Cricetulus griseus: one gene and its partner. Each later gene encodes a partner of the first gene's protein in a complex. Links are inferred from orthologs where the notes say so. Each region holds a gene or a part of one and is shown in the gene's direction. Other genes may lie near its edges.

Region 1 (3,577 bases):
AATGTTATCCCCGAGTATGCTTATATGAAAAACACACACACAAGTAAACTTGGGGTATATATTTTTCTTTGAAGATAATTGTTTTTTGACAGAATTGTGAGACAGAATTGTCTGTGATATTTTGAAAGCATTCAGAATCTAAAGTTCCTGTGAGGAAATCTTGTTAGTGGGAAAGAGGGTGTTGATATGAAATGAGAAACTAGAGGAGATCTTACAACATTCTTGGGCTACCAGGCAAGTCAGCAAAGACAGATGATACTCTGTGTAAGTGTGCATCTTAAGTCTTACTCTAGGAGTGGTAGGAACTGGAATATTTCTCAATTCCTTTCATCTCTGTAGTAATTAAGGATTCCTGCTGTGGCTGGAATTGGGCAAGGCAGCTGTCCTGGTTTGTCTTAGTTAGGGTTACTGTTGCTTTACTGAAACACCATGACCAAAAGCAACTTAGGGAGGAAAGGGTTTGTTTCACTCACGGTTCCATGTAACAGTTCATCATCAAAGGCAGCCAGGACAGGGACTCATGCAGGACAGGAATCTGGAGGCAGGAGCTAATGCAGAGGCCATGAGGCTTGCTACTTACATGGCTTGCTTAGCCTGCATTCTTAAAAGAAGCCAGAAACACCAGCCTACAGAGGTGATCCTGCCTAAAAATGGACTGAGCCTTCCACATCAGTCACTAATTAAGAAAATGTCCCACAGGCTTGACTATAGCCCAATTTTACAGGGGCCCTTTCTTTTTTTCTTTTTTTTTTTTCTTTTTTTTTTTTGGTCTTTTGAGATAGGATTTCTGTCTGTAGCCTTGGCTGTCTTGGAACTCACTCTTTGGACCAGACTGGCCTCGAACTCTGCCTTTCTTTGCCTCCTGAGTGCTGCCCTACCACTGTCTATCTATAGGGACATTTTCTCAATTGAGGCTCCTCCTCTTTGATGACTCTTGCTTGTGTCAAGTTGACATAAAACTAACCAGGACATGGTTAAAGGTCTTTCAGAGATTAGCTGGCTTTGTTGTCTAGCCATAAGACTAGGAAGACTATGAACATGATCTCTTGTCTCCTCCCCCTTTAACTTTGATGTTAAAGTCAAGATCATATTGGTCTCTTCTTTTCCAAGTATTAACTTAGGTGAATCAGTAAGCTGTATAGAGTGGTGTTGAGACACAATAGTAAATTATAGGAACTAGCCCGTATGCTCCTAACTAAGATGAATAGTATCCTAGTTTGCTTTCGCTGTGGTCAACACTGTGACCTAAAGCAACTTGGAGAGGAAAGGGTGTATTTCATCTTCCGATTGATAGTCTGTCATCAAGGGAAGCAAAGACGGGATCTTGAAGTAGACACTAAGGGATGCTGCTTACAGGCCTCTTACCATTGGCTTGATCAGCTAGCTATCTTTGTTACACATCCCAGTTCTACCTGCCTAGGGATGTCACAGCCCACAGTGGACTGAACCCTTCTGCATCAGTTAGCAGTTAGGAAGATGCTAACAGACATGACCGTAGGCCAGTCTGATATGAGCAATTCTTCAGTTGAGGTTTCCTCTTCCCAGTTGACTGTAGGTTTGTGTTGTGTTGACAGCTGAGGTGATGACAGAAAGATCACTGGAAGCCTGATTTTTTTTTTTTATTTTTTTTTCCTTCTTTAGTTGGACTCTGAGTTAACAGCCCGGCATGAGTTACAAGTAGAAATGAAGAAGATGGAAAATGACTTTGAGCAGAAACTTCTGGATCTTCAAGGAGAAAAGGATGCATTGGATTCTGAGAAACAGCAGATTGCTACACAAAAACAAGATCTGGAAGTGGAGGTGTCCAAGCTGACGGGAGAGGTAATGTCTGAGCAGGACAGCGGTGTGCCTGCAGCTGCCCTCCATAGCTCAGCTGTGCTGGTCATAGGTTCCCTATGCTAGGGAAGAGCAGCTGGATCATCAGGTAGATGGTTGAGTGTTGTAACAGTCATTTACTGGTTTTAGTCTTGTTTGGGAGGATAGTATATAAGACAAAACATTTAGAAAACAATAAAGAATGGTAAAAGTTACTTATGGCAGAATCCAGAAATAATGCATTTGGGAGTAAACAGTAAACTATTGGCTTATTTGCCCATCCAACTTAGTTTATGCTTCTATGACACCTTCATTCTCCTTTCTCTGCAGGTACAAATGCTTAGTAATACTGTAATACTGCTAACTTGATCATTTGCACAGCTGTGGGAATACCTGCATAGCACATACTTCAGTTTTATTGTCAAACTCAAAACACACTAAAACCAAGAACACAAAGACTTGAGGTCTAGTTTTACTCTCCTACTAAGTGTCAGTGTGACTTTAAGAAGAATCGTGTGATCAGTCACTCAGTCCATCTATGGTTGAACAGAAATTTGGACTAAGTGGTTTCTTCGGTCCTTTTCAGCTCCAGTAGTCTTTGAAGTGGGGTGAGAAGTGCTTCTTCTGTGTTGCTTCTTTAGGTTGCCAAGCTGTCAAAAGAACTAGAAGATGCCAAGAAGGAAATGGCTTCTCTCTCTGCTGTGGTTGTTTCTAGCAGTGCTGCTGTTCCCCCTGCCCCTCCTCTGCCTGGCGGCCCTGGCACTGTTATTCCACCACCCCCACCCCCACCTCCTCTTCCTGGAGGTACCTTTCCACCTCCTGCCCCTCCTCTGCCTGGGGTCGCTGCCATCTCCCCGCCTCCTCCTGTGCCTGGGGGTGCTTCTGTACCCCCTCCCCCTCCTCTGCCTGGCAGTACTGCTATTCCCCCGCCGCCGCCTCTGCCTGGGGGTTGTGTTATCCCCCCTCCCCCTCCTCTGCCTGGAGGTTGTGTTATCCCCCCTCCTCCTCCCTTGCCTGGCAGTGCTAGTGTACCAGCTCTCCCTCCTTCCGCTGGGATTCCCGGGCCCCCCCCACCTCCTCCCTTGCCAGGAGGACCGGGACTGCCTCCCCCACCTCCCCCTTTGCCTGGAGGCCCTGGCATGCCTCCACCTCCACCTCCACCTGGAATGGGCATGCCTCCACCTCCCCCCTTTGGATTTGGGGTTCCTGCAGTCCCCGTTCTGCCATTTGGATTAACACCTAAAAAAGTTTATAAGCCAGAGGTGCAGCTCCGGAGGCCAAATTGGTCCAAGGTAAGTTTTTCTCCAACATTAGATCTTAAACTACTTTTCTTGACTTATTTTTGTGTGTGCGTAGGCTACCCACTTTAGGGCTTATATCTGTCCTTCAAGTTGTACTTGTGTTTATGTTTATATAACATCTCTATTTCAGTTATTACCACAGAATGATCTGTGGGCCCAATGGGAATATATTTTAATTAAACTTAACCTATCTTAATATATTTGGCCTTTACTCTGATAAAATGAGTACTATGGTAGTTGACAGTTGTCACTTCACTCGGGTGCAAATGACTGAAATTACGCTTGTACAGCCCATGATGCGTGTGTGGCCCCTGTGGTTGGTTGGGTCAATCTTTTGCTTCTAGAAACTAAGTTAAATGTAGCCAGATTGATGGGGAAAACATCAAGCAAGGAACATTGGAAAAAAGGCTTTAATGCTTGTGGAAATAGAAGATTTGGAATTAGGAGGAAGATCAGTGTAA
Region 2 (4,260 bases), on another chromosome or scaffold:
AAGCAAGTCCCAATTAAATGTTTTCTTTTATAAGAGTTGGTGTGGTCATGGTGTCTCTTCACAGCAACAGAATACTAAGACATTACTTTTATCCTTAAAAGTAGGGTGGGGGGGAGATAAAAGTTCAGCAATGTTATTATAAAATTATCAGCGTACTCCACACTTTAAATTGACAATAGTGTGCAAGGTTTGGGGGCTTTCTTTCCCTTAATAGGCAGGTCAGGTTTGTGGTTTAAAGCTGGTCACTCAGGTTTGTTGTTGGAGAACATCTATTCTGGGTTTAGACCCAACGCCTAAAGCTAATAAAGATGTAGGAGGAAGTTCAGAGACTCAACTATCTTCCACCCTGTTAAATACAAGTCTTTCTCAGATTTGGATTCTGAAATGATTTCTCACTGTTAGGACAGTGGTGCTCAACTTATGGGTCATGACCCCTTTGGGGTTGCATAACAGTAGCAAAATCACAGTTCTGAAATAACAAGGAAAACAATTTTATGGTTGGGGTCACCACAACATGAGGAACTGTATTGAAAGGTCACAGCTTCAGGAAGGTTGAGAACCACTGCTCTAGAACCTTCCCTAGCTTGGATACTGTGTATTTTCAGCGACGTATGCAACGCACAGAATCTTTTCCAGTTACCAAGTGCACGCAGGTCTGTTTCATTTAGAATTTCTGGATGATCGAGGCCCTGGCATGATTAGCAACACTGGGTTCAGGGCAAAGGTTCCACAGAACCCCAGACTCCTGGTACCCAAGGAGGCAACAAAGAACACGGAGCGCGCTCCCCTGCCGCGGCTCTGATTTCAGTTGCATGCTGCGGAGCAGCTGGCAGAGATCTTCTCCGAGGTTCCTGCCCAAGCATGGGCAACTCTCACTGGCCGCTCCCACCAACCACAAAGAGTAAACCCCGCCGCATCCGTAACCAGGGCAACCCAGCCACCAGACACCGCGGCTGTCAATACCGCATCCAGAGCCAGCGCTGGAGGAGGGCGCACGGTGGACCCGCGTGCGGAGCTCCAGGGGCACCCCACGGCACCCACTCATGCTGCCTCGCCTGGCCTGAAGCCCCGGAGCCGCGCCCCAGCCAGCGCCAGCGGCTAGTCCGCTCTCCTGTCGCACGTGTCAGCCGTGATTGTCCCCGGCGGTATCCATCCGCGCCCCCGCCTCAGCTCCCCCGCCCTTCCCGAGACCCTCGCCGGCCGGCCGCGCTGCGGAAGGATCGCACGCACGCGCGCTCACGTCCCGCTGGCCCCGGAGAACGGAGGGAGCCGCATTGACAGTCAGCCGTCGCCAGCCCCGCTGCCCGCATCGTTCCGCCGCCGCCGCCGCCGCCGGCTCCTGAGCCTCGCGGCCGCGGCCGCCCGCCGCGTCCCCGCTGCGGGTCCTGTCCCCGCCCGCCGCAGTTCCCGGAGAGGGGCGGTCGGTGCCTGCGCAGAGCCGCCTCCTCCCCGCCCCCGCCCCGCCTCCGCCGCCGCCGCCGCCGCCGCCGCTGCGCCTTTGCTCCTGCCGTCCCCGCTGCAGTGCGAAGGGCTCGAAGATGGCCGGTTGGCAGAGCTACGTGGATAACCTGATGTGCGATGGCTGCTGCCAGGAGGCCGCCATTGTCGGCTACTGCGACGCCAAATACGTCTGGGCAGCCACGGCCGGGGGCGTCTTCCAGAGCATCACGGTGAGGCCCTGGGGCGCCGAGCCTGCAGGTGTGCGGCGGGCCTCCGAGGAGGGGACGCCGCCCGCGAGGAAGGGGACGGATGCGGCCGGGGCTTGAGCAAGGGATGCTGCCGGCTCGGGGAGGGGATGGATGCGGCCGAGTCCCTGGATGTGGGCCGCTGAGACTGGGGATGCTGCCCGAGGCCGCGCGGGGGCGGGGCGGCCGGACTCTTAGCCCCGGCGGCGCCCCGGCTTGCGACTGCCGGGGTGGAGGAGGGGACGTCTCCCCGAGAGGCCCCTCGGCGTTCCGGGAGGCCCGTGGGCTGCAGTGCGGGTCCCCGGGTGTGGGCGGGGGTCCTGGGCGGCCGGCTAGCCCCGACTCGGCGGTGAGCGCGGGCTGTGGGAGGCAGCGGTGGCCAGGTCCCTAGAATTAATAGAGTGACTTTGCGTAGGCTTGCCTGTACCCAGGCCTCCTGGGCTGGCAAGAAGGGTACGCGGACCACGTATGTGGAATCGTGAATCTACTTCATCTGTGGCTCTATAGTTTTTTTTTTTCCTCCAAGATGGCGAACTGCCATTGATTTCTCTTCTCCACCTATAGAGATTCATCGATATACCGTTATCCCCAGTTACGCAACCTAGCCCTAAAAAGAGGATGGTTTTAGGGTGGTTAAAAGAAAAAAAAATTATCTGGAAGTCGCGGGAGGGGTGACACTTCTCCAAGTCACTCCCTCTTTAGTGATGGTAGTAAAAGAACTAATACGGATTTATGCTTCACCTTGCTTCATATTCGGGTGTCTTGATGGCTTTTGACTTGGTTGCCACACATTTGGGAGATATTCGTCAATCAGCCTCCAGTACTGCTTATTGTTATGCCCATTTCTACGTAAGGCTCTTTAAAATGTTGACTCCAGTATCAAGTACAAGACCATTCCCTTAATTTCGTAGCCCCACACTCCCACTCTCTTCCTATCACACAGCAAAATTCATGTTTCATATCACAGGTACTCAGCATTTTACTACTTGACATGGTTTAACATATTAGTGTAGATTCAGCCCTTGATAGGAGTGCCTTAGGATCTTCTGTCCCGGTGTGGGAGACTACAATTCCTATATGGAATTGACATTCGGTGATCAACTTTTTTTTTCCTGCAGTCTTGTCTTTGTGTGTGAGTTCCCGCTGTCTGGCTAAGAAGATTGCGGGAGTGTGCTTGGAAATGGCTGGGGCCTGCTATGACTTTGCAGTTCTGATGGGGGCGACGCCTTCCTTCTTATTCATGGAATGTTAGAATGCACGTTTTCTCTTTTCCGGTTCTGGTGGCTACCTCACTTTCTTTACCAGTGCCCCTCCATTTTCTCTATAATTTTACTATCGCCGACGGTAGTGCTGGAGACAGAAAGAAAGCTGATTACTGAATGAAAGGGCAAGGCAAGTTGGAGAGAAAGGAGTAGTGGCTAGAAAATAGGAGGGAAATACGAATTTGGAAATGTCCGCCAGTCTGGTGATTGAGATTCATGCTACCAAGGATATTTCAAGCTGCTCTAAGGAGAGAAGTGAGCAGGTTTATCTGGGGAGACTTTTGCAACTTTAAATTTGTTGCAACATGACTAATGTGGCTGAATATGATAGGCAAGCTGTTGGAAGAGCTTATAGCTGAATCTTTACAATTACATAAGCACCTTCAGGCACCACCTGACGTGATATAGTTTATAAATAACTCGTTTTCAGTTTGTACCTAGTGTCAACTGCCAACTATTTAGGGAGACTCTTTGTATGGTTGGTATTGCACTAGCTTTTAGTTAGCAGAACTCACTGTTAAAATGCAAAGGCAGACTAATGTGTTAAGCGTGTAATCATGTAGGAATAGGCAATAACAGAAAATGTTATCTTGATTTTACATCAGCACTGTTCCTTGTATCAAACTCTGAAAGGAATTAACTGCAATTTTTTTTTCTTTGTTTTGGGTGGCCAGCCAGTAGAAATAGATATGATTGTAGGAAAAGACCGGGAAGGTTTCTTTACCAACGGTTTGACTCTTGGTGCAAAGAAGTGTTCAGTGATCAGAGATAGTCTATACGTTGATGGTGACTGCACAATGGATATCCGGACAAAGAGTCAAGGTGGGGAGCCAACATACAATGTTGCTGTTGGCAGAGCTGGTAGAGGTAAGTGAGCTCTTTCTTATTTTGTGTGTGTGTGCCTAAAAGTTGCATGCCATATTACACTTGAGTTTCTTTAATGGTCTGAATTAAAAACTAGTTCATAATGTCTATGAAGGTGTTTTTGTGAACTGCTCAGCACTGAAGGGGAGGTACTGCTTTCAGTCTGTCTACTTTACAGTTTTTACACTCGAAGCCTCACCTCTTTCACCCTGACTTACTCTAAATTATTAATGTCAACTCTTCATCTTCAGCTTTAGTAAATGAAAATGAAAAGTTGCCCCTTAAACAACCCAGTGTCATAATACTGTGGTATATATGATGCTAAACTGTTCAAGACACCTCGTTATTTTGTCTCTAATGAGTCTTGTGGATCTTTCAAGTTTGCTTAGATTTGAAATAAATTCACTGCTCATCATTAAAAATCACATTGGTTAGTTCTTCTGCCAGGA

What was found. Proteins that work in one complex are often made in the same cells at the same time.
Region 2: the proteins of Diaph1 (region 1) and Pfn2 are in contact, whole or in part, in a crystal structure (PDB 2V8F), measured with the Mus musculus proteins. The link is inferred for Cricetulus griseus from reciprocal best matches to the Homo sapiens genes DIAPH1 and PFN2. Residues at the interface, in NP_031884.1 of Mus musculus: Ile635, Pro636, Pro637, Pro638, Pro639, Pro640, Leu641; in NP_062283.1 of Mus musculus: Ala2, Gly3, Trp4, Ser6, Tyr7, Asn10, Ala28, Tyr30, Trp32, Arg108, Met131, Tyr134, Leu135, Ser138, Phe140.

What each region holds. Positions count from the first base shown.
Region 1 is NC_048595.1:199,753,249-199,756,825, forward strand, and holds part of Diaph1 (protein diaphanous homolog 1), read left to right. Parts: intron 1-1,641; coding exon 1,642-1,821; intron 1,822-2,456; coding exon 2,457-3,107; intron 3,108-3,577. UniProt on the Homo sapiens protein: Actin nucleation and elongation factor required for the assembly of F-actin structures, such as actin cables and stress fibers. Binds to the barbed end of the actin filament and slows down actin polymerization and depolymerization.
Region 2 is NW_023276806.1:93,602,440-93,606,699, forward strand, and holds the start of Pfn2 (profilin-2), read left to right. Parts: upstream 1-1,460; 5' UTR 1,461-1,538; coding exon 1,539-1,670; intron 1,671-3,621; coding exon 3,622-3,814; intron 3,815-4,260. UniProt on the Homo sapiens protein: Binds to actin and affects the structure of the cytoskeleton. At high concentrations, profilin prevents the polymerization of actin, whereas it enhances it at low concentrations. By binding to PIP2, it inhibits the formation of IP3 and DG.